3 linked regions of the Saccharomyces cerevisiae S288C genome follow. The gene in region 3 interacts genetically with the main gene of each other region. Each region holds a gene or a part of one and is shown on either strand. Other genes may lie near its edges.

Evidence for each region. Genes that interact genetically often act in the same process or in processes that back each other up.
Region 1: of ADE16 (region 3) and ADO1, a mutation in one rescues a mutant of the other (synthetic rescue), as found in Saccharomyces cerevisiae (one study listed by BioGRID).
Region 2: mutations in ADE16 (region 3) and QNS1 together harm fitness more than expected from each alone (negative genetic interaction), as found in Saccharomyces cerevisiae (2 studies listed by BioGRID).

The regions. Positions count from the first base shown.
Region 1 is NC_001142.9:620,449-627,806, reverse strand, and holds ADO1 (adenosine kinase), read right to left. Parts: upstream 4,227-7,358; coding exon 3,204-4,226; downstream 1-3,203. Other genes in the region: LIH1 (putative lipase), read right to left, coding at 1-467; ECM27 (Ecm27p), read right to left, coding at 792-2,969; superoxide dismutase SOD1, read left to right, coding at 4,793-5,257; CTP synthase URA8, read right to left, coding at 5,317-7,053. UniProt on the Saccharomyces cerevisiae protein: ATP dependent phosphorylation of adenosine and other related nucleoside analogs to monophosphate derivatives. ADO1 does not play a major role in adenine utilization in yeast.
Region 2 is NC_001140.6:243,342-251,540, reverse strand, and holds QNS1 (glutamine-dependent NAD(+) synthetase), read right to left. Parts: upstream 5,349-8,199; coding exon 3,204-5,348; downstream 1-3,203. Other genes in the region: type 2C protein phosphatase PTC7, read right to left, coding at 1-292, 386-440; PPE1 (phosphoprotein phosphatase methylesterase 1), read left to right, coding at 1,900-3,102; oxysterol-binding protein related protein OSH3, read right to left, coding at 5,969-8,199.
Region 3 is NC_001144.5:196,336-205,104, reverse strand, and holds ADE16 (bifunctional phosphoribosylaminoimidazolecarboxamide formyltransferase/IMP cyclohydrolase ADE16), read left to right. Parts: upstream 1-3,789; coding exon 3,790-5,565; downstream 5,566-8,769. Other genes in the region: DNA helicase RAD5, read right to left, coding at 1-114; YLR031W (uncharacterized protein), read right to left, coding at 320-880; YLR030W (uncharacterized protein), read right to left, coding at 1,024-1,815; 60S ribosomal protein eL15 RPL15A, read left to right, coding at 2,515-3,129; aspartate transaminase AAT2, read left to right, coding at 7,020-8,276; SED5 (t-SNARE syntaxin), read left to right, coding at 8,633-8,769.

The sequences.
Region 1 (7,358 bases), on a different chromosome or scaffold from region 3:
CCGAGAGTTTCTGTGAACCTTAGAAATCCTCTATGCATTTTACAACCTTCACATTCTCTGATTTTTCCTTCCTCTATAAGCTTACGATATTCCTTAACGCAAAGGGGAGAATAGTTAACAGGATATATTTCAAAATCACTAAACCAATCTTGTCTTGTTGTGGATCCTCTAAATGCTAAAATAACAACCTTTTTTCCGTGGTCAACAGCCAGATAACCCGAGCCTAATTCACCTTTTTTTGCATTAAGAACTAATTCAACCACTGTTTGACCCGCTGTTGGGTTAATTATCTCATCATTGCAGAAGTTAATATGTGGTGGACAACCTCCGTCGTTGAAGGTTTTATTAACAAGAAGTAAGTTGTCAGATATGCAGCTTGATATAGAGCTTGCCTTAATAAAATATACTAGACGCTCATAGATATATGGAGTGATGGGCAGGTTGGACGAACAATGAACAACAGGCATGAGTACTACAAAAAGATATAGTATGAAAAGTCTGGCAGGCATCATTGTTATGGGTTTCTCAATCGAAGTTTTGGATAGTTCCTGGCTACAACTTTTTTTTTGGAGCTCAATCAAAATAATTCATCCAAGGAAACGAAGGTTGAGACAGAAAGAATATATGGCCCATTTTTGTTTGAATAAAAGGGCGATTTGAATGACGGAGTCTAAGTAATCTTGAAATTAAATAGTACTTCTTTTCTTGGTGTTCTGTGTTCTGCGCGGATCTGTTACGGCGCCAGATAAATGTCACAAAAACAAATTTTTCGGGAGGCACTCTTGCAAGCTTTAGCTAAACAGTTCTAGAAGTATATTAATCAACGTGGCTAGTGCCCATAGTCCGCACATAGAGATTCCGACTAACTTCATCTCCTTTGTGAGGCGCCGTTTAATATTGTTAGGCCCTCCGAAGAATAACAGCAAGAGAATAATCTGTAGGATAATGAAGACGCAAGAAACTATGAATTTGTAATTTAATGTATTATCCAATTGACTTGTTTCTTGTAATTTAACCTTTCTTAGGAACCACCATTCGTTATCATTAAAAGCGCCAATAAAAAGCATTGATACTAGCCCACTAAAGCCTATTCCACCCATAGAATTCAGCATTACGCCTCCTAAGCAAGATGCGCATGATATCATAAAAAATTTTGTGGCTAAACGAACTCTGTCTTGGTAGTGAGTTTGGGTTTTGTAGAGCCTGCACATAGATATGTTGGAGATCAAGTCTCCTACTGAGTTGCCCCATGCGAAAATGGTAAGGCCCAAAATAGCTTTCGATAATCCTAATATTTTTTGGTAAATTTCCATCATCTCAATAAGAGAATTGGCTAAAAGTGATATCCAAATTATGATATTTATTATGCCGATAGCTAGAAAAATTATTTGGATGCTTGTGTTAAGCCTTTCGAGGAGTTTTCTTTTTTGTAGCTTTTCCTGTAAAATGTTAGAGCTGTCTAATGACAGAGTAAACTTGTTATGCAGATTTACCTTTGTAATAAAAGCCGTCAATAGTAAAATTAAGGCCATAGCTAATATAAGAGGGAAAAGGTAAACGAGATAGCCTAGATGATATGTCAAAAGCACAGAAAGTATACTGCAAAGGAGGAAGGGTGCAGTAATTGATTGGATAAATAATAAAATTATGGGTAACGTTGTTAAAGAGTATCTGTTCAAAGTGGGATCATAACTCAAAATATCTGAAGGCGGTTGAGGACATGATAGTTTGAAAATAATGAAAAACGGAACAGTTATTATGGAAAAGATCGCATCTGAGATGGATTTCTGGGAAAAATTTGAGAGATGTGGTATGAAAATTTTTATAATCCAGCCCAGAGACCTTTTGGAGAACCTTCGCATTTCTTGCGCACCAAAATGACCATGCGTTGTTGTCTCCAATAATACTTGCTCTTGAGACTCTTCATCATCAGGGTTGTCACGGTAGGGGGCGAACACCGCTGGGGAACTATTTATTGCTCTTTCAGAATCTCTATATTCCGTAAACGCATTCGTTGGCTCACTGAAAGGTCTTCCAGCACTCGTTGCCTCTCCTGCAACTGTTGCAGAGGCGGACCAATGTTGTCCCGGCGTCATGCTACGTAGAGTGTTCAATTCTGCCATTTCATTCCTTGAGTCATCCTCCTCCAAAGATGAGTTTTCAAGCATTGATAAGAAACTATTGAAATCCATAGCAGATAGCAAACTAGGCTTAATGCCGTGTGTTATAGAATTGGATATGTCAAAGCCAGGTTGTATTGGTGGTAGTAAACCAGAAGCCATCAGAGAGTCATCCAAAAAAGGAGAAACGGAGTTTTCTCTGAGGCTCGTATCCGCAGCAGTTTCATCTGGGGTTTCTGCAGAATGATTAAGCTTGAAAGTTAACTTAACGACTAGATAAAAGGCATAAAGGAACGCCATCAAAAGGCAATTCAGCACAGTGACCTGATTCATAAGGGAAACGTAACTCATTACGCACATGGCAGCTAAAGAAAATAACAAGTCTCTCATGATGGATAGTTTTTGAATTTGCGAGATTTCAATGTGAGTTCTTGACATAATAATAAAAATGGAGCCCTCTACAATGCACAGGATAATGCCGCAAGCGCCAAGCACCTCACCAATTGATAGCGATACTGAGGTTGACCTTGTTTCTCTCGTAGAGGTTGCCCAGCTCATTAAGTTGGAAAATAGGTCAGGCGAAGAGTTACACCAAGATAGTAGAACTGCCATTAATGCCCCAGTATGAGATGCATGGGACGCCGTTTTTGAGACTAAAGAACCATTCGATCGAAGGCTGTTGGGATCTGATATATGGGCCACGTTGGGGCAAAGAAAATCGGATGCACATATTCCTAATAACACGAAAGCAATAATGATATGAAATAAGCTCGGCACAATAAACGTTACTGAAAGTTTAGGATCCTTGTAAAGTAATCGTGGATGGGCGACATTGATTGCCCAGTCCATATTATTGTGTTATTGTTGCTTGTGTACGGCCGTATGTGGAGAGGATGAACGAGTATTTTGTTCTTAGCGCTGCTTGTCCTTTTTTCTTGAAGCTGTACTTTATAGCGCCTCTTTTCCTTATTGTGGTAACGGTGGCTTATTTGGTTTAAGAACAAGCGGTAAACATGTCTACGAATGAAAAGCTAGAGGGAACACGTAGAGTATATTTTATTTCTATTATATTGTAAGAAGAATCTATTTAGAGTAAGATATTTTTTCGGAAGGGTAAGAGGGACCAACTTCTTGAATAGACAAAGCAGCTAGCCATTGACCCATGTCAATAGAGGTTTCCAAATCTTCACCTTTAGTCAACCCAGCCATAAAGCCACCAGCGAAGGCGTCACCAGCACCGTTGGTGTCGACGATCTTAGAAGAGTCCAAAGGTTTGACTGGATATGTGCTGGTACCCTTGGAGGACACGACCACTGTTGGTTCGACACCGTGGGTGAAGATGACAGTCTTTTCAACTGGAGAGTCCTTGACAATTCTTTGAGCAATAGCTTCCAAATCAGTGTTGGCACAGTCTAATTGGAAGGCGTCGCAAAAGGCTTCGGCCTCCGATTCGTTAGCGATGATGACGGTAGCATAAGGCAAAACTCTGGCCAATGCGTCTTTGAAGACATGAGGAATGAAAGGAGCACTAAAGTTCAACACGAAAGGTTTGCTGTTCTCTTTAGCATGTTGGCCCAACTTAACGATAGCGTCTGGAGACACGGTCAAGTGGAAACCACCGATGTAGAAGAGCTTAGCTGCTTCGACCAAGTCCCAATGCTTGTCCAAGTGGTCTGGAGTAAAGAAATTGGCAGCACCCAAGTCAGTGACCAAGGACCGGTTATGGCCAGTGATTAATGCGGCACACTTACCGGTACCAATATCATTTTGAACTTGGTACATAGACTTGACACCAGCTTTTTCGTTTTCGTTAAGCAATCTCTCGCTGAACTTGTCCTTACCGACGGAACCGAAGTACACCACCTGGCCGGCGCCCAAAACGTATGCTGCCCCTCTAGCAGTGTTTTGAGCAGCACCACCTGCAACAAGCTTTGTTTCTGGCATCTGTAAGAGCTCGTCAAAAATAGCCATCTTAGCATCGCCTGATTTGGCATCGACCAAAATTGCGTCGTTTTCCTTTAGAGAATACTTGGCCAGGTATTCAGCCGTGACGTCGGCTTGGAAATCTAAAAGTGGGTTACCCAATACTACCAATGGTGCGGTCATAATTGCTTGCTCTTTCTTTTGCTGTTATCTTTGGTTCTACCCTGCACAAGATAAACTGAGATGACTACCTAATTAGACATGGCATGCCTATAAGTAAAGAGAATTGGGCTCGAAGAATAATTTTCAAGCCTGCCCTCATCACGTACGACGACACTGCGACTCATCCATGTGAAAATTATCGGCATCTGCAAAAAAAGTTTCAACTTCCACAGGTAATATTGGCATGATGCGAAATTGGACGTAAGTATCTCTGAAGTGCAGCCGATTGGGCGTGCGACTCACCCACTCAGGACATGATCTCAGTAGCGGGTTCGATAAGGCGATGACAGCGCAAATGCCGCTTACTGGAAGTACAGAACCCGCTCCCTTAGGGGCACCCACCCCAGCACGCCGGGGGGTTAAACCGGTGTGTCGGAATTAGTAAGCGGACATCCCTTCCGCTGGGCTCGCCATCGCAGATATATATATAAGAAGATGGTTTTGGGCAAATGTTTAGCTGTAACTATGTTGCGGAAAAACAGGCAAGAAAGCAATCGCGCAAACAAATAAAACATAATTAATTTATAATGGTTCAAGCAGTCGCAGTGTTAAAGGGTGATGCCGGTGTCTCTGGTGTTGTCAAGTTCGAACAGGCTTCCGAATCCGAGCCAACCACTGTCTCTTACGAGATCGCTGGTAACAGTCCTAACGCAGAACGTGGGTTCCACATTCATGAGTTTGGAGATGCCACCAATGGTTGTGTCTCTGCTGGTCCTCACTTCAATCCTTTCAAGAAGACACATGGTGCTCCAACTGACGAAGTCAGACATGTCGGTGACATGGGTAACGTAAAGACGGACGAAAATGGTGTGGCCAAGGGCTCCTTCAAGGACTCTTTGATCAAGCTTATCGGTCCTACCTCCGTTGTAGGCAGAAGCGTCGTTATCCACGCCGGCCAAGATGACTTAGGTAAGGGTGACACTGAAGAATCTTTGAAGACTGGTAATGCCGGTCCAAGACCAGCCTGTGGTGTCATTGGTCTAACCAACTAATGTTAATGATAATATACTTGAATAAAAACCGTATGTAAGTAAGTAGTAAGCGCATCAATTCATTCATTTTCATTTCCCTCGCTTAGATTTATGTCCTTGATCACTTCACCAAGTGTGCCGGAGGCTGCGGCCACAAGCCCCCAAAACGGTCTTGATGGTTCCAGCACCTTCGATGTATACTCTGGATGGTATTGAGTGCCCACGTAGTATGGATGGCCTTTCAATTCGAATATTTCGCAACGCTGGCCCGTCTCGTCCTTACCAACAAAAATAAAGCCACGAGACTCCATATCATTCACTATTTTCGGGTTTATCTCATAGCGATGACGATGTCTCTCATGCACCTCATTAACTTCACCATAAAGCTTCCTTATGTTGCTCCATTCTGAGTTCGGTTGGAAAATGGTAGGCCTCAAACCCAATCTCATCGTGCCACCCATGTGTTCCTTGTCGATCTCGGGCATGTATATGACTACTTGGTCTTCAGGAGCTAGTAGTGTCTCGTCCAAAAATTCTGTAGAACTGCTGTTTGGGCGGCCTATCACATTGCGGGCGAACTCGATAGCGGCAACTTGTAATCCAAGACAGACACCAAGAAAGGGAACACCGGATTCACGGGCCCATTTGGCAGCAAGAATCATACCTTCAATACCTCTCGTGCCAAATCCACCAGGAACCAAAATTCCGTCGGCGGAACTGAGCTTATTCCATGAATCGTGGAACTTGTTCTTGTCCACCTCTTGAGTTTCGGGCTCTAGGTTACTTGCCTCTACCCAGAGGATTTCTAGCTGACGACGGCACTTCATGCTTGCGTGTTCTAAGGATTTGGTCACAGATAGGTAGGAATCCTTCAAATTAGTGTATTTTCCCACAAGAGCAATCTTGACAACATCATCAGAATCATCTAGGTTTTTGGTCATGTTTTCCCAGTTAGTCAATAATTGAGACCCTCTTTCCTTGTCTTCCAAGGTTAGAGGCACTTCACCTAATTTCAACCTTGAATGGAGGTAGTCGATCATATGTTGCTTTAGCAGCAATAAGGGAACGTGGTACGTGGAGTTAACATCATGAACGTTGACCACTTGCTCCGGCCCCACATGGCAAAACATGGCAATCTTGTCAATAGTGCTCCTGTTAAGTTCTTCGCTGCATCTGCAGGCAATCATATCGGGAATAAGCCCTAATGACCTTAAATCTTTGATTGCTGCTTGGGTGGGTTTCGTCTTCTGTTCACCATGAATGACGGGCACAAGTGAAACATGGATCAGGGCGAAATTCTCTCTTCCAACTTCGAACTGAAATTGTCGTAATGCTTCCACGAAGGGCGCACTCTCAATGTCACCGACCGTACCACCTAACTCGATGATACAGACGTCTGGTTCTAATCCTGTGTCATCCACTGGAATTTTTGAAACACGTTGAATCCAATCCTGAATTGCGTTAGTCAAATGAGGAACAATTTGAACTGTCTTACCTAAATAATCACCTCTCCTTTCTCTGGAAATTACGTGGGAGTATATCTTACCGGTGGTGATGTTGTGGTCCCTGCTTAAGGTAATACCGAGGTACCGCTCGTAATTACCGAGATCCAAGTCCGTTTCCCCACCATCATCAAGTACAAAACACTCACCATGTTCCAAGGGAGACATCGTCCCGGCGTCAATATTCATATATGGGTCAATCTTGATGGAAGTAACCTTTAGGCCGAGGGTTTTCAGTAGCATCCCTGTAGAGGACGCTAAAACACCCTTACCAATACCTGAGATAACACCACCAGAAACAACAACGTATTTCATTTTCAATAGCCGCCTTTAAATTTTTTTTTAGAACTTTACAAATTGATTCCTAGTCAGATAGACAGTTAGATACAAGATAAATACTCAAAAACAAAAAAAATGTGATAAACTAAAAAGGACAAGATAAAGAAGAAAAGGCAGGGGGGGAACTAAAACAATCGAAAAAAAAAAAGAGGGAACGTGTGGGCGACTGTTTAAAGAGAGAGAGGGTGAGAAATGAAAGATTTCGATCGGACAATCACGCTGCTTATATACTTTTTTTTTTCTTCATTTTGATGAGGTAAGCGCCTCATACGGAAAAAGTA
Region 2 (8,199 bases), on a different chromosome or scaffold from region 3:
TCAGCCCATCCTCCAACACCGTCTGCGACACCGGCAAAAATATCGTGAACGTTGTTTGATGTAACAAAATAGTTGTCTTCTCCTGTAGGTGATCTAATAGAATCCTTTAGTTTTTGGTATATCAGATCGTCTCTGTCTTTTGGTTGGAAAGCTACCGCGGTTTTATAGGTGAACGGGCCTGATTGGCTACCTGAACTATACGCATCACCATGACTGTTGTTCGATTGATACCCACTCTTGGCACTTGAGTAAAAAGTCCTCTTGGAAAAGCTGATGATTTGACTGCAGGATCCTATGATATGAGAAAAGTTAGTCTCTGAGTCGATTAGCATTTGTCCCGCAAATTTAGCAATTAGCACACCAATGAATAAAACAATAAACATACCATAAAGGGGACCTCTCGAGACCCTCAAAGTTCTAAATCCAACGTTTGCAAACATTTTTGGTGGCTTTGTCGTTTGTTTTCTGGACCGCTTTTATTGCATGTGTCTTTTACATTTGTTTACTGTCAAAATGAAGCTCGCGTGTAAATTTGTAGATTGATTACAGAAAGATGTAGCTGAAACCAGCCAAGAAAGAACAATTAGCACATCTCATTTTATAGAGCCTCAGTTTCTGTCGTACGACTGTTGCAAAATATGTAGGTGGAAGTGGATTTTTAAATTACGTTTAAAACGTAGATTGCGAGTCACTGAATGGCAGCAAGCTTATTAAAATGATTAATTTCTAATTTTATTGTGATATAGGCAACTTTGGATAGAGGAAACAATGAGCCGTAAGAGTGCTAGTTACTGTTTTCGCACCGCCGCAATCGTATAGGTGCGTTAATGGCAGTTTAAAAGCTAATACTGCTTACATGAATGTCAACGGCGCCAGCATGGTCAAATAACCGGCAATATGTCCTGCTTCAAAGTTAAATAGTTTGAAGTATTTAGTGCAAAAGTGCCATCTTCTTTCTGGGGAAAGTTTTAAAGATAACATCGTTATTGGTGTAATTTTGAACAACTGCATGATCATGAGTTTACTTGAGAAAGATGGCTTTATTTACTGAAAATCTGCTACTGAATAGAAAGCGCTCTTAAAATCAAAAGGAGAAGAGAACCAAGAAAAAAATTACGCAGATTGTGCCAATTCCAAGATGAGCTGATGCACGATATTTGCAGAAATTTATAAAATGGAAAGATCTGCAAAATATCACGAAGACATCAAAAAATACGATCTTTACACCCAAGGTATTACAGTCTTTGGGTAATGAAATTATCAGATTTGATGGAGGGCTTTTGTGATAATCCTTCTAATTCATAACAAGAACTTTATACGGTACACATGTGGAGAAACAATTTCCTTACTTAGATTTCTTAAAATGAAAGATTTAAAACACATAGAGGAAGCTCAATGGCCGACGCCAACTCAGGATGACAACGGTTTGTTTGTGAATTTGGATGTTTCAAACTCGGATCAAAAAATTCACAACATAATTGAACGGTTGGTCAGGAGAACGAAGAAGTTTTTACAAAGGCTCAAGTATAAGGAATGTCCTGCGCAACGTAATATATACCAGAAGGTCAATCCCAGCCTTGACGTAGTAATATGCCCTTAAACCTCCAGAAAATTCCCCCAATATAAAGTATTGCCGGGAAACAGCATATATACTTACAACAAATAGAATCGTTGGCACCGACATTGAAGTGGACTATGTTCCCCTATGAATTGTTCATAGTAATATTGTAGAAGACCCTATTGTTCTTGTAATTCGGGTAATATATTTGAAATTGTACAATATGCCTATTTAGGGATATCATTAACTGACTGCAGCGGTAATGATCAACTAATGCTCAACAAAGAGTCAAAAATACGGCAACAAACTGGTAGTAACGGTAGGACATTTTCAAATTTTCAATGTCTGACGATTTGAGAAGAAAAATTGCTTTATCCCAGTTTGAGAGAGCCAAGAATGTTCTAGATGCGACATTCCAAGAAGCATACGAGGATGATGAAAACGATGGTGATGCATTAGGTTCCCTGCCATCATTTAATGGACAATCAAATAGGAACAGAAAATATACGGGCAAAACCGGTAGTACTACTGATAGAATTTCAAGTAAGGAAAAGAGTAGTTTACCCACTTGGAGTGATTTTTTTGATAATAAGGAGTTGGTAAGTCTTCCTGATAGAGATCTGGACGTAAATACATACTATACATTACCTACTTCATTGTTATCAAATACCACTTCAATTCCCATCTTTATTTTCCACCATGGGGCGGGCTCCTCAGGTTTATCATTTGCAAACTTGGCCAAGGAATTAAATACTAAACTAGAAGGAAGATGCGGATGCTTTGCATTTGATGCTAGGGGGCATGCAGAAACAAAGTTTAAGAAGGCTGATGCGCCTATATGCTTTGACAGGGACTCTTTTATCAAAGATTTTGTAAGCCTGCTAAATTATTGGTTTAAGTCTAAAATAAGCCAAGAGCCACTTCAGAAGGTATCTGTTATACTAATTGGTCATTCCCTTGGTGGAAGTATATGTACTTTTGCGTACCCTAAATTATCAACAGAACTACAAAAGAAAATTCTTGGTATTACTATGTTAGATATTGTAGAAGAGGCTGCCATTATGGCCTTAAATAAAGTTGAACATTTTTTGCAGAATACACCCAATGTATTTGAATCAATTAATGACGCTGTCGATTGGCACGTTCAACACGCGTTATCGAGATTGAGGTCAAGCGCCGAAATTGCTATACCAGCTTTATTTGCTCCGCTCAAGTCAGGGAAAGTTGTCAGGATAACAAACCTTAAGACCTTTAGCCCTTTCTGGGACACATGGTTTACCGATCTGTCGCACTCCTTTGTTGGCTTACCTGTTAGTAAATTATTAATATTGGCGGGAAACGAAAATCTCGATAAAGAATTAATTGTGGGGCAAATGCAAGGTAAATATCAGTTGGTAGTTTTCCAAGATTCCGGGCATTTCATTCAAGAAGATTCGCCTATAAAAACAGCAATCACTTTAATTGATTTCTGGAAGCGGAACGATTCTAGGAATGTAGTAATCAAGACTAATTGGGGTCAACACAAAACCGTGCAAAATACATAAGGGTTAAATATCACTTTTATATCTTTATTTATGATAGAATAAATAACAGAATATATGAACTCGTGGAAAAGTCTTATTTTGCTGTGAGCACTTCTTCTGTGCTAATCAATAGACATAATGTCAAGCGTTGAGCCTTTATGTGCTTCACACTGCTCGACAACTTCATCAATTTTTCTTGAAGCCCATGGAAATCTTGGGTTGATTAAGAAAGGACGTAAGTCAAATCTGTTGTCTTCTGGTGAATACTGTTCAGCATGATAACTAGGAGTTAAAACAGTTTGCTTGTGTCTGTTGATGGCATAGAAGAAGAAAAATCTTTTCACCTTTTCAGATATTTGACGAGGTGTTAACTTTGGGGACCATTGATGAAGAAGTTTTAAGAACATAGAATAAGGACCACATTTTTCAACCTTTCTTAGGTAACCAAACACGCCCAATTCTTCATACGTCATCCCCATATCTATCTCATCCGATTGAACGTAATCTTTAGTCATAGGTTCTAATTCTGCAGTTGGTGTAGCGTTTAAAAAGTCATTCAAGATTGGCATGTTATATTGTTTTGATGCGTAGGCAATGAATCTTTTCAAGTCAGTTTTTGAAATACCCCCAATAGGGTTGATATCTGCGGAGGAGCAGTCATATTTTGTTAGATACCCACGTAAGCACTCATCAACATTTGCGCTACCAAGTACTAACAATCCACCCGAGTTTGGGATACCACGAACCCACGGCAACAGTTGCGCAAAAAGATAAGAAAGAACCATTCTTAGACGCGCCTGGATGTTTTGTAAAGCCAAGTTCTCGATTTGAGATCCCCCAAATATTTTGTATATTGGTTTTTTGCCAGTGGCTACTTCGAATAAGGACACCACACTGGATACCAATGAGTCCATCTTTAAATCCACGTGGTAAGATCCAATTGCATTGGAAAGGTCCTTTGCTCTGTTTCTTGTCTCCTTGGATGAATTTTCCGTACCCATGAAACAGGAGTGAAATATTTTTGAGGCTAGATCCTGTGGACTGTCTGGAATCCAATCATCGCCGCTACGTGTTATCTTACGAACGTCTTTGATAACTTGCTCATTTCCATTTTGAGCAGCGTCGGTCACTAAACGGCACATAGAGTGGACAATCATTGCAGTTGCACAAGAGTCAATGCCCCCAGATAAGGGAAGGAAAAACCCTGTTCCGTTACAACGTCTTAAATAATCCCACATCCAGCAAGCAGGTCCCAGTGCAATTTCTTCCTCAGGAGAGTGATAGAAAGGCTCGCGGACTTTTGTTGGACACACTGTAGGATCAAATCTGGAGGTCATTAAAGCCAATTCTACAGGAATATCAATACGCTTGAACTTTATTTCTGCCAAGGAGGCTTGTAGGCCACGAGACATGACAGCTGCACGATAACTCCTCACCTCTTCTAGGTCCACAGTAGCAGTAACTACTTCCACATCATCTAGCGAAAATTGTGAACCTTGGGCTACAATTGTACCATTGATGGCAATTAGTGCACAGCCATCATAATATAATCTGTCACCATCACAACCTCTTTGATTTGCATACAAGTAAACACCACCACAACGTTTAGTGGCATTTAAAATTAGGTCTAACCTTTTATTTAACTTACGCAGTTCATGATGAGAACCAGATGAGTTTGTCATGATTTCCACACCATCTAAAGACATGGCGATGTGGGGGGATTGAGGTGTAAACAATTCTTCACAAGTTTCTGTACCAATGCATGTATCCAATGAATTTATCACAGCGTCCCCAAATGGCACAAGTCTCTGGCCGGTAACTTTCTGAATCTCAGGTGGAAGGATAAAGTCCTCCACCACGCCAGGTTTCATCCAAGGTGTGAAAAATCTCATTTCCCTATAGTTACCATCATTAGCTAACCAAATCTTAGGTCTTATGAACAATATCTCACCATCCAAGGATAACAAACGACAATTATAACGAACATTCTTGTGTAGAACGGGCATACCAATGTCAAGTATTAATCCATGGGTTTCTTTATTCTTAATGATTTGAGCATACATTTCCCATGAATGAAGGCAAACGTCATTTTCTAAAAAATGATCTAAACATCCGTAGCCAGTTATTTCCAGTTCTGGGCCGACACGTAACCTGGCACCCCTCTCTTTGGCAATCTTAATGGACTGTAGGATACGGTCTCTATTACCTTCAAAATCTAGGGCCCATTGATTCAAGTTGCATGTAGCTAAAGTGATAAGATGTGACATTACTGGCAGGGAGTCAAAAAAAGAATGCCAGGGTATTTGGGGGTATTTTTACAAGCAATATCAATTGATGATGTGAGCATATAGTCTATTTTGAGGTAACCAGTTGATAATCTTATATTTCCCTTCCATATTCCTCTTTATCTTTTTCGACGAAACTATTGGGGCCTCTTGATATGACTTAGCAGGACATATAAAGGATAAGATGTTCCAAGCTATGTTATCTTTGACAAGTTTTGATAGCAATAGACTTTCAATTCCAAATTTAGGCACCTTTTGTAAGATCCTGTGTTCGTAAACTTTTCTTCAAAAAACATGGATCTAACTGACTGAAAGAGTTCATTATCTTTCAATTATGTGATGAAATTCTATTGTTTTTTTCAAGTTTTGCAACTAATCATAAAATAGAATGTTTTTACAGTCAAGCAAACAAAAATAGTGTAGAACTGTTAATATAAAATTAGTGTGAAAGATTGATCAAGAATTTATAAAGTCCTTCATGTTGTATATAGTATACTATACATGAACGCATATACAAGTAATTTGTGTGGATGATCATTAAAGATGGAAAATAAATAGAGTACAAAGGGGGGAAAAAAGTTCACTTGATGTCATCAAGGCATTCACCAGAGTTGAGAAATATCAGACCAATCATGCTTCTTTCTTCTTTCCCAATAACTCTTCGGTCCAGTTATGTATTTCCATTCATTCTTAGATACTTTTTCGAAATATTTAGGCTCCACATCTTGCCCTTTATTACGTCTTTCACGTTGAAGTTGTTCCAATTTCAGCTTCCACTCTTCCGCCTTATCAACATTTCCCTCCTCGTAAGCTCTAATATCTGGTCTTAATCTTGAGTCCGTAGGTGGTAAATTGCCCTTTTCAATTTCAGTTATCTCATTCAAATTTGCGGTGAATTTAGTAAAGCCATATTTCTTCTTCGGATTGCTAACTAAATCACCTACTTCCCATATAGTTTCATGTGTAGTTTCATTAGCTAAACTCTGTGTCCATTTACCAGCTAGAGTTTCCTTCTTGCGATTGCTCGAAGGTGGTGGGATTATCGAAACCTTAAATCCTTCAGATCTTCCACTAAACATACCTGCCTTATCGAACAGGATGTGTGATTTGTCTCCCTTCGAAGAATGTACTTCGAATTCGTTGACAGGCTCCATATATCTCTCACCCGCTATCAAATTTTTTAAAATAGTTGTTGGTTGCGTCCATTCAAATAGTTCTCCAGTTGTCTTAAACTTCAATCTCAGTATACCTTCGTTATTCAATTCAATAGACTTACCCCAAAACTTTTGCGATGGCGTTACAGTGTAACTACACTCCCAGTCGAGATGCTCTGCAAAGAAGGCAAATACTGGAGGACGATGTGAGACCTTTTCCGATATAAGCCTAAACCCCATATCTTCTCGTATAAGTTCAAATGTTTCAGCCAGTAAAGGATTAAAAGGCTTTCTTAGCGTTCTTGTTTTATCCCTATATATGGAAAGAAAGGAAATAGCAAATGCAGAAACAAAGGTTATAGGATCAGGACGTTGGGTAGCCTTCGTTAAAAGTGGAGCATACTCAAATGTTTCTGATATCAACTGCAAAATAGAAATAGGCTCATTTGAGGTTACTGGCATGGCAATAGAGCTCAGATCTTTGCCTACATTCTTTCTCAAAAAAGATAATAGGCTTGGCGGAGAAGCTGCAGCTTCAGGTATGTCATTACGGCGTGTAACACTCTTTGGATAGGAAAGAGCAAACAAATCCTTACTTGTAAATGTTTCTGTTGAGGATTGGGCGCTTTTGGTTTTTTGATGATGAGGGTGGCCACGGCGACGATTTTTGTGACGATTTTTGAGGTGTTTACGGCTATGATTTTCATCGTTAGTTGTATAGCTCTCCACACTTGATGAAGCTATCTGTTCGGATCCCGACAATTGGACCTCTTTTGTGAACTCATTTTGGTCACTTTTACCAAGAAGGGGAGTTTCCTCGACTATATTATTAATATCATCTTCTGTGTCAGGTAATATAATGACTCCCCGACTGATTTCCTCTTCTGCATCAAAAAATTCATCATTCTCGCTAAGATATGAAGTTAAAGAAACTCTCGTGTCTTTTGCTTTCTTGCACAGGATCTGGTGGTCCTTGAATAAAACCTCTCCCTGTGTAACGAACCGGCTAACAAATACTTCAAGATCTGCCAATTGGTTATATAAAGCATGCTCAATATATGTTTTGTTGGAAGGAACCTCTTCAGAGGCTAAAGAATCAGATGACGTCATACCAGAAGAAGAATGATTGAATGAAGACACTCTATTATTGGTAAAGACGGAAGATGACGAATGTGTTCCATTTAGCCCCTCCGATCTTTGATGTAAAGTAGTTGGTTTATAAGATAACGAGTCTTTTTTACACTGCTCCAGTCGTTGTTGAATCAAACGTAGATTCATGGAGAAAGTAGCGTAAGATTCGCTGGGCAATGGGACATATATGTCATCCATGTCTTTCTGAGTATGCTGTCTATGTGATAGTGCACTTTTGGTCGTAGCCGTGGGCGTGAGGTGGTCGTGGTCTTGAGGTGAGCTTTTATTAATTACTTCCTTGTCATCGTCAAGAATGTCGGGATTTTCTTCCAAAGTGGACGTGTCCTTATCTTCGAACTGATCGTCAAAACAAGTTTGTAACGCATCGACCCACGACTGCCAATTTTCCTTAGTTGTAGCCTTCAAGACCCAAACTTCCATACCAGAATCAATTATGATTATTTTGTCCTTCTTATTGGCACTAACAGATGACAAGCTTATGACAATTTCACCCCTACAAGTTTGATTATGGTCGTTTAAATAGTACG
Region 3 (8,769 bases):
ATTTGCAAATAAAAACGACTCTTTATTCTCAGATTTGAAGTTTAACGATGTTTCTGAAGTGTCAAGGTCATCGTTAAAAAACCTCTTCCTTTCTTCCTGTTCAATATGACTCATATTGTGATACTGTAAGACTTTAGGTGTGTTTCTAAGGCCTTTTGATAATGTAACTTTGTAGATAATTTACTTTCAAGTGAGCAATGCGCTTAGCAGTAAGGAATAATGTGTGGAAAAGTTAAGGGTTTATGACGCGTAAAATTTTCAGCCAGACGACGCGCCAACTAACATGTAAGAAAGTAATAATTTATGAAAATTTAACTACTTATTGATTACTTAATCTTCTAATACAAGTATTTTTTGTTTCTAGAATAGAATTCAATCTATTTATCCGTGCAGAAAGGTCCAGAATGAGGGGTTTTACTTCATTTTGATTTACAAAGCCTTGCTCTTCTGCAGTTAATCTTTTGGATTTCTCTCTGATTATCTCAGAAAGAAACTCTATTATCACTGAACTTTTCTTTCTTCTCTCATTTTCCAACATCAGAAAAAGCAATTCGTTGTCAGTGTCCTGCGATAAAGTTCTTAACTTTTTCTCCAGGTCTTGTCTTCTTTTGATGGACTCTCGTACCCGAAAGCAAAGATTATTTAGTTTGGCTAATTGAAAATTTCTTTCTTTAATAGCAGCTAGCTCGCCTCCTTGGATTAACTCTGATGCAGATTCAAATTTAGATTCAAAGCTCTTTTCCAAAAACTGTAAAGTGTTCCATTTATCCCTTAAGGGATCATCATGCTTTTCAAATTCAAAGGCATCTAGAACATCAGAAACCTTAGTACCATGAAAGTCGATATTGGGATAAGAAGTTCTCGTATTTAAGACCGGCATAATAGGAGTTACTGGAACTGATGTGTTTACAGATGTAAAACCATCTGTTTCACTCAACTTCTTTTCAAGTTTGTTAATATTATTCTTAGCTTCAGCCTTCCTATGCTTATTTAGTATGTTTTCGAGGCGTATAATCTCAGTGATTAATCTGTTTTGTTCCCTTTGAAGATTTTTTTTTTTTCCTTCATCGAAGCTACCTTTATATTTTGGGCTGCTGAGTCAAACCGTTCTTCGCCAGATTGCAAATCCTCTCTTTCAGTCAAATTACCACACGTACTAATCTCTAAAGGGCTATGTTCATCTTCACCCGGTTTTAACGAAACGAAGCTGTCAGAAGAGCGTTTGTTTTCCGCCAAAGAAGTGTTTTTAAATGAAGAAAGCTCAGAATTGATATTGCCCTGCTCCAACACTTGTATAGGGGGGGTCTCTTCAAAGGAGAACAGGCCATACCTTTTGGAATCTCCTTCAGGACTCTTTTCATGTTCACTAGTCAGGTTTTCTCGGACATTCTGCTCGTTAAGATTATCAACTTCACCCAGGAGGCCTTCTCCCCGGTTACGTGCCTCCGATTTTACGTCACCGATTGACTTTATGCTATTCTTTCGAGACAATGGCCTCTTTTTAAAGAAAGTACTCACTCTCTTGATTAACCCAACAGAATTTTGACACTCTTCATTTGGATGTTCCTCAAAACTTAATCTCTGTTGAGCCACATTTCCTGAATATCTTTGAGTTGAGTACTCTTTATTTTGCCAACAATCATGGATAACCGGATGCTGCGGCAAGTCCATGTCCCGAAAAGTATTAGCTACCAACGTCATCTCGACATGGGGAGCGGGCTTTGTGATCATTTGTTTTGGAATCGAATAATGGATAATCCTTTTTGGAATGATCGGTGTCTCTTGAACATACTCCATAATTTGTTCACCTTCCATCTCATATATTACATATAAGGCCACACACAGACACAAGCTGAAACGAAAATATCTATAAATATACACTTCTTAATTTGTATTCAAGATATTCTTATCAAAGCACTTATTTTTTCATTATATTTCTATATTGATTTAAGGACGGTACGCTATTTTCTTTGTACCTTTTACTATGCATAAAAAAAGGGGAAGTGTTTAACAATCGACACTTACTTAATATGTTTTGCCGCCCTTCATAAGAGGGTGTTTCTAAAATTTATTGGGCAAGAATGAGATGGACTCGCACCCTACATGACGTTTAAATATTTAGTGTTAAGGTTCAGAACATGCACCAGGTGCGACATGTGTTGCGATTATCATGACAATGTCTCTATCCGAGATGCATTTGTAGTATCAATTGATGCGTATTATGACATGATTTACATAGCATACATCGTCAAACATGATATTATATTCTTTTTTTGATAAATGTACGGATTTAAAGCTGTCGAATATATTTTCTGAAATTTCTTGGAGCTGACGCAAAATTTTCAAAGGTGCTAAAATTTTTCAAGATTTCTCACTTTTGCTTGGTAACAAAGAATGATGGCATTGCATTTTTACCACCGGTACATTTAACTGCTATTTCTCACGTTTCTTTCCCTATCCTTAAGTAATTCTTTTACAATCTAAGAAAACCACGATCAAACAAATAAATCAGCAATGGGTGCCTACAAATATTTGGAAGAATTGCAAAGAAAGAAGCAATCTGATGTTTTGAGATTCTTGCAAAGAGTCAGAGTCTGGGAATACAGACAAAAGAATGTCATTCACAGAGCCGCTAGACCAACTAGACCAGACAAGGCTAGAAGATTGGGTTACAAAGCTAAGCAAGGTTTCGTTATCTACCGTGTCAGAGTTAGACGTGGTAACAGAAAGAGACCTGTTCCAAAGGGTGCTACTTACGGTAAGCCAACTAACCAAGGTGTCAATGAATTGAAATACCAAAGATCCTTGAGAGCTACCGCTGAAGAAAGAGTTGGTCGTCGTGCCGCTAACTTGAGAGTCTTGAACTCCTACTGGGTTAACCAAGATTCTACTTACAAGTACTTCGAAGTTATCTTGGTCGACCCTCAACACAAGGCTATCAGAAGAGATGCTCGTTACAACTGGATCTGTGACCCAGTTCACAAGCACCGTGAAGCTAGAGGTTTGACTGCCACTGGTAAGAAATCCAGAGGTATCAACAAGGGTCACAAATTCAACAACACCAAGGCTGGTAGAAGAAAGACCTGGAAGAGACAAAACACTTTGTCCTTGTGGAGATACAGAAAATAAGCTGGTTGATGGAAAATATAATTTTATTGGGCAAACTTTTGTTTATCTGATGTGTTTTATACTATTATCTTTTTAATTAATGATTCTATATACAAACCTGTATATTTTTTCTTTAACCAATTTTTTTTTTTATAGACCTAGAGCTGTACTTTTATTCTGCTATCAAGCAAACCCCTACCCCCTCTTCTCAATCCTCCCCTCAGGCAGAACTTATCTACCTGTATCAAGGAGCGGACGAGGGAGTCCTAATTGTTCTACGTATACCAATGCTAGCAGCTTACATAGGTGGTGGCACTACCATAATACTTATATATAATATCTTTACGCTCAAGTAAATTTCTCCGCCGCATAAATTAACACCATGTTCTTTTTAGTCGCACCTTATTTTCTTGTATTTTTTTTCTTTCCTTTTCTTCCCGTTTTTCCTTATTAGAGCCATTAGATAAAACTCAAGAAAAGCAAAAGAGAGGGCTATTTCCACTTTAAGAATAAGCCTTAATAATTGGCAAATAGATCGTCCTTTTTTCCAGTTTTCAGCATTTGTGTTTTTTTCTTGCTCTTTTTAGCGATTAGATAACATTCAAGATCTAATCAATACCCCATTCCAAACAAAGAATCCAAATATACCATAAATAGGGACAAAAAACAAAAGAGCTAAAAATGGGCAAATATACCAAGACTGCGATCTTGTCAGTTTATGATAAGACAGGTTTATTAGACTTAGCCAAGGGATTGGTAGAGAACAATGTTCGTATCCTAGCATCCGGTGGTACGGCCAACATGGTCAGAGAAGCTGGTTTTCCGGTCGACGATGTTTCTTCAATTACGCATGCACCAGAAATGCTAGGGGGTAGAGTCAAGACTCTTCACCCTGCTGTGCATGCAGGTATTCTTGCCAGAAATTTAGAGGGCGATGAAAAAGATTTAAAAGAGCAGCACATTGATAAGGTGGATTTTGTTGTATGTAATCTATATCCGTTCAAAGAAACTGTGGCTAAAATTGGTGTTACAGTTCAAGAAGCTGTAGAGGAGATCGACATTGGCGGTGTGACTTTGTTGAGAGCAGCCGCAAAGAACCATTCCAGAGTGACTATTCTTTCAGACCCTAATGACTATTCTATCTTTCTGCAAGACCTGTCTAAGGACGGTGAAATTTCTCAGGATTTAAGAAATAGATTTGCACTTAAGGCGTTTGAACATACGGCCGATTATGATGCGGCCATTTCTGACTTTTTCAGGAAACAGTACTCCGAAGGGAAAGCCCAATTACCGCTAAGATATGGTTGTAATCCCCACCAAAGACCTGCACAAGCTTATATCACTCAGCAGGAGGAGTTGCCCTTCAAAGTGCTCTGCGGTACACCAGGATATATAAATCTTTTGGATGCCTTGAACTCATGGCCCTTAGTGAAAGAGTTATCTGCATCATTGAACTTGCCTGCGGCAGCATCGTTCAAGCACGTTTCTCCAGCAGGTGCTGCTGTGGGACTTCCATTATCCGATGTGGAAAGACAAGTTTATTTTGTGAATGATATGGAGGATTTATCACCATTGGCATGCGCATACGCTAGGGCCCGTGGTGCAGATAGGATGTCATCCTTTGGTGATTTCATTGCATTGTCCAATATTGTAGATGTCGCCACTGCAAAAATCATCTCTAAAGAAGTTTCCGATGGTGTTATTGCTCCAGGGTATGAACCAGAGGCATTGAATATACTATCTAAGAAGAAAAACGGAAAATACTGTATTTTACAAATCGATCCAAACTATGTTCCTGGCCAAATGGAATCCCGAGAGGTTTTTGGCGTAACGTTACAACAAAAGAGAAACGATGCGATCATAAACCAATCCACTTTCAAAGAAATTGTCTCCAAAAACAAAGCACTTACCGAGCAAGCCGTTATCGATCTAACTGTTGCTACGCTGGTTTTAAAATACACACAATCAAATTCTGTTTGCTACGCAAAGAATGGTATGGTTGTGGGGCTTGGGGCCGGCCAACAATCGCGTATACACTGTACCAGATTAGCTGGTGACAAGACGGACAACTGGTGGTTGAGACAACATCCAAAGGTTTTGAACATGAAGTGGGCCAAGGGAATTAAGAGAGCGGACAAGTCGAATGCGATTGATCTTTTTGTTACAGGGCAAAGAATAGAAGGCCCGGAAAAGGTGGATTACGAAAGCAAATTTGAAGAAGTCCCTGAACCTTTCACCAAAGAAGAAAGACTAGAATGGTTAAGCAAATTAAACAATGTATCGTTATCATCCGATGCGTTCTTTCCCTTCCCAGACAACGTTTATAGAGCTGTGCAGTCTGGTGTAAAGTTCATCACGGCTCCTTCGGGGTCTGTCATGGACAAAGTTGTCTTCCAAGCGGCGGATTCATTTGATATCGTCTACGTGGAGAACCCAATTCGTTTATTCCACCACTAAGTAGGGTACATTTTATGAGAAGAACAGAAACAACATATATAGCTGAATACAAGTGTATATACGTAAACGTATACGATTTACTTAATTTTCTACGTCAAAGGCCTTCCTCTTCTGCGAGAGGACAAGATGTGAATATGTGAATTATAGAGATGTCTGCAGTATGGTTTTACCCAAATGATCATGGACCAACTAGGGTCATTTCATAGTGTTTAGGAATATACTGCGGTAGGACGAACAACAAAGATGACCGAACTCAGATTTTCCCACTCTGCACCCACATCCCGCAATCTCTTCGTAATAAGGAGAAAGCTGGCCATAGGACAAAGTATAGGAAAAGAGCTCAAGATCATGCGTCCTACTTAATCTAAGTTAAACTCGTCAACGGGGCCACTTCTGTCTCATCCATATATATCATGGCAACAGCCCCCGAACCCCATATACACATCGTTAAGGCAACAGCACCCGATGCAACGACTAAGAGAAACTGCTCGTAGTCTGACGACTCAAAACTCTGATCACGAAGATCAGAGGAGAAGTCAGGAGCTGCATCTCTTATGTGATGCCGTTGTCCGAAGCGCCATCTAGATGAATACGTGAGGCCCATTGGAGGCTCCTTGAGACTCTGCCTCTCGAGCGTTGAAAAACGCTAGCCCAGTGTTTTAGAGAAGCTAAGCAGCAATAGCAAGAAATGCACACACACGTATGCGAGTGACTTCCCTTCCCTGTATAGTACCGAACTAGCACGAGACTATGGTTACTTTTTTTTTTACAAATAAGCAAAGAGAAACTTGAATGGGAAAAGAAGTTTACCATAGAAGTTAAATGCACGACGATGAGAGTTTCAAAGTGTTTATATAGGCGAGAGAATCTAAAGGAAAATTTTTCTTGAAATAAAAAAGCACTGTCAGGGTAACAATGTTAATAATAGCCGCTGATGGTTTAGGGTTACTACGCTAGAAGGACATAAAATCATTATTTACAAGAAACATACAAGGAGGCAATTTTTTAAACTCTCAATGTAGGATATTTCATTTAACTGCACTAGTGGCATCTATTATACACAATTACTCCAGTAGCTGCCACAAAGCACCCAAAGATAAGAATAATTACGGAAAATGAAATTTTTACTTTGAATATGATGATATGGGCATTGCAGGTTTGTAGTAAGAGCAATTTACAGGAATTCCTGACGGAATATTAATGTTTTCTTACTGTTTAATGCGATGTACATATTGTCAATACTAATGGTCACCACTGGAAATGGCTATCTTTCGTCTTCGTGAATAACGATCGCCGAGAGTCGGACCGAGTGAGTCAGCGTGATCGGCCTCATTTACCTTGTCGCCTTGCACGTCGGTATATAAACGTATGTGGATACTTTAAGAAGGGAAAGCGCAACCGTCCAAATTCTAATGAACAAAAGAACACAGGAATACAAGAACACAAGAGCGATAATGTCTGCCACTCTGTTCAATAACATCGAATTGCTGCCCCCTGATGCCCTTTTTGGTATTAAGCAAAGGTACGGGCAAGATCAACGTGCTACCAAGGTCGACTTGGGTATCGGGGCCTACAGAGACGACAACGGTAAACCATGGGTCTTGCCAAGTGTTAAAGCCGCCGAAAAGCTAATTCATAACGACAGCTCCTACAACCATGAATACCTCGGTATTACCGGTCTGCCAAGTTTGACATCTAACGCCGCCAAGATCATCTTCGGTACGCAATCCGATGCCTTTCAGGAAGACAGAGTAATCTCAGTACAATCACTGTCTGGTACGGGTGCTCTTCATATATCTGCGAAGTTTTTTTCAAAATTCTTCCCAGATAAACTGGTCTATTTGTCTAAGCCTACTTGGGCCAACCACATGGCCATTTTTGAGAATCAAGGCTTGAAAACGGCGACTTACCCTTACTGGGCCAACGAAACTAAGTCTTTGGACCTAAACGGCTTTCTAAATGCTATTCAAAAAGCTCCAGAGGGCTCCATTTTCGTTCTGCACTCTTGCGCCCATAACCCAACTGGTCTGGACCCTACTAGTGAACAATGGGTTCAAATCGTTGATGCTATCGCCTCAAAGAACCACATCGCCTTATTTGACACCGCCTACCAAGGGTTTGCCACTGGAGATTTGGACAAGGATGCCTATGCTGTGCGTCTAGGTGTGGAGAAGCTTTCAACGGTCTCTCCCGTCTTTGTCTGTCAGTCCTTTGCCAAGAACGCCGGTATGTACGGTGAGCGTGTAGGTTGTTTCCATCTAGCACTTACAAAACAAGCTCAAAACAAAACTATAAAGCCTGCTGTTACATCTCAATTGGCCAAAATCATTCGTAGTGAAGTGTCCAACCCACCCGCCTACGGCGCTAAGATTGTCGCTAAACTGTTGGAAACGCCAGAATTAACGGAACAGTGGCACAAGGATATGGTTACCATGTCCTCCAGAATTACGAAAATGAGGCACGCATTAAGAGACCATTTAGTCAAGTTGGGCACTCCTGGCAACTGGGATCATATAGTAAATCAATGCGGGATGTTCTCCTTTACAGGATTGACTCCTCAAATGGTTAAACGACTTGAAGAAACCCACGCAGTTTACTTGGTTGCCTCAGGTAGAGCTTCTATTGCTGGATTGAATCAAGGAAACGTGGAATACGTGGCTAAAGCCATTGATGAAGTGGTGCGCTTCTATACTATTGAAGCTAAATTGTAATGATTAAATAATACTTATACTTACCTATTACACTCTTCATATTTTTTTTAATGTAAAGAAAGTAAAAAAAAAAAAAAATAAAAAAAAGAGAAATGCTCTTTCTTTACCTTCACAGGTGTATTATTATGTTGTTGTAATATCCGGGTAGGTTTATTGATCGAGGCGAGGCGAAAGGGCATATTCGAAACAATCATTATGATAATAATGTCAATATAGAAATTGAAAAAAAAAAAAAAATCCTACCGCCGCATCGACGCTCCTGTTAGACCTTTGAACGGAAATCACCCACTCTTTACTGTATATATTTTATTCCACCTCTGTTTCCAACGACCATTTCACCATACCACACAACTCCCATGAACATAAAGGATAGAACTTCAGAATTTCAACAAAGTGTGTTGAGTTACAAGAAAAGAAACAAAAACTTTAGAGAACAGCAGAGGGAACGTCTACAAGAGAAAGAAAGTGAAAACTTTGCCAACAACACAACCGG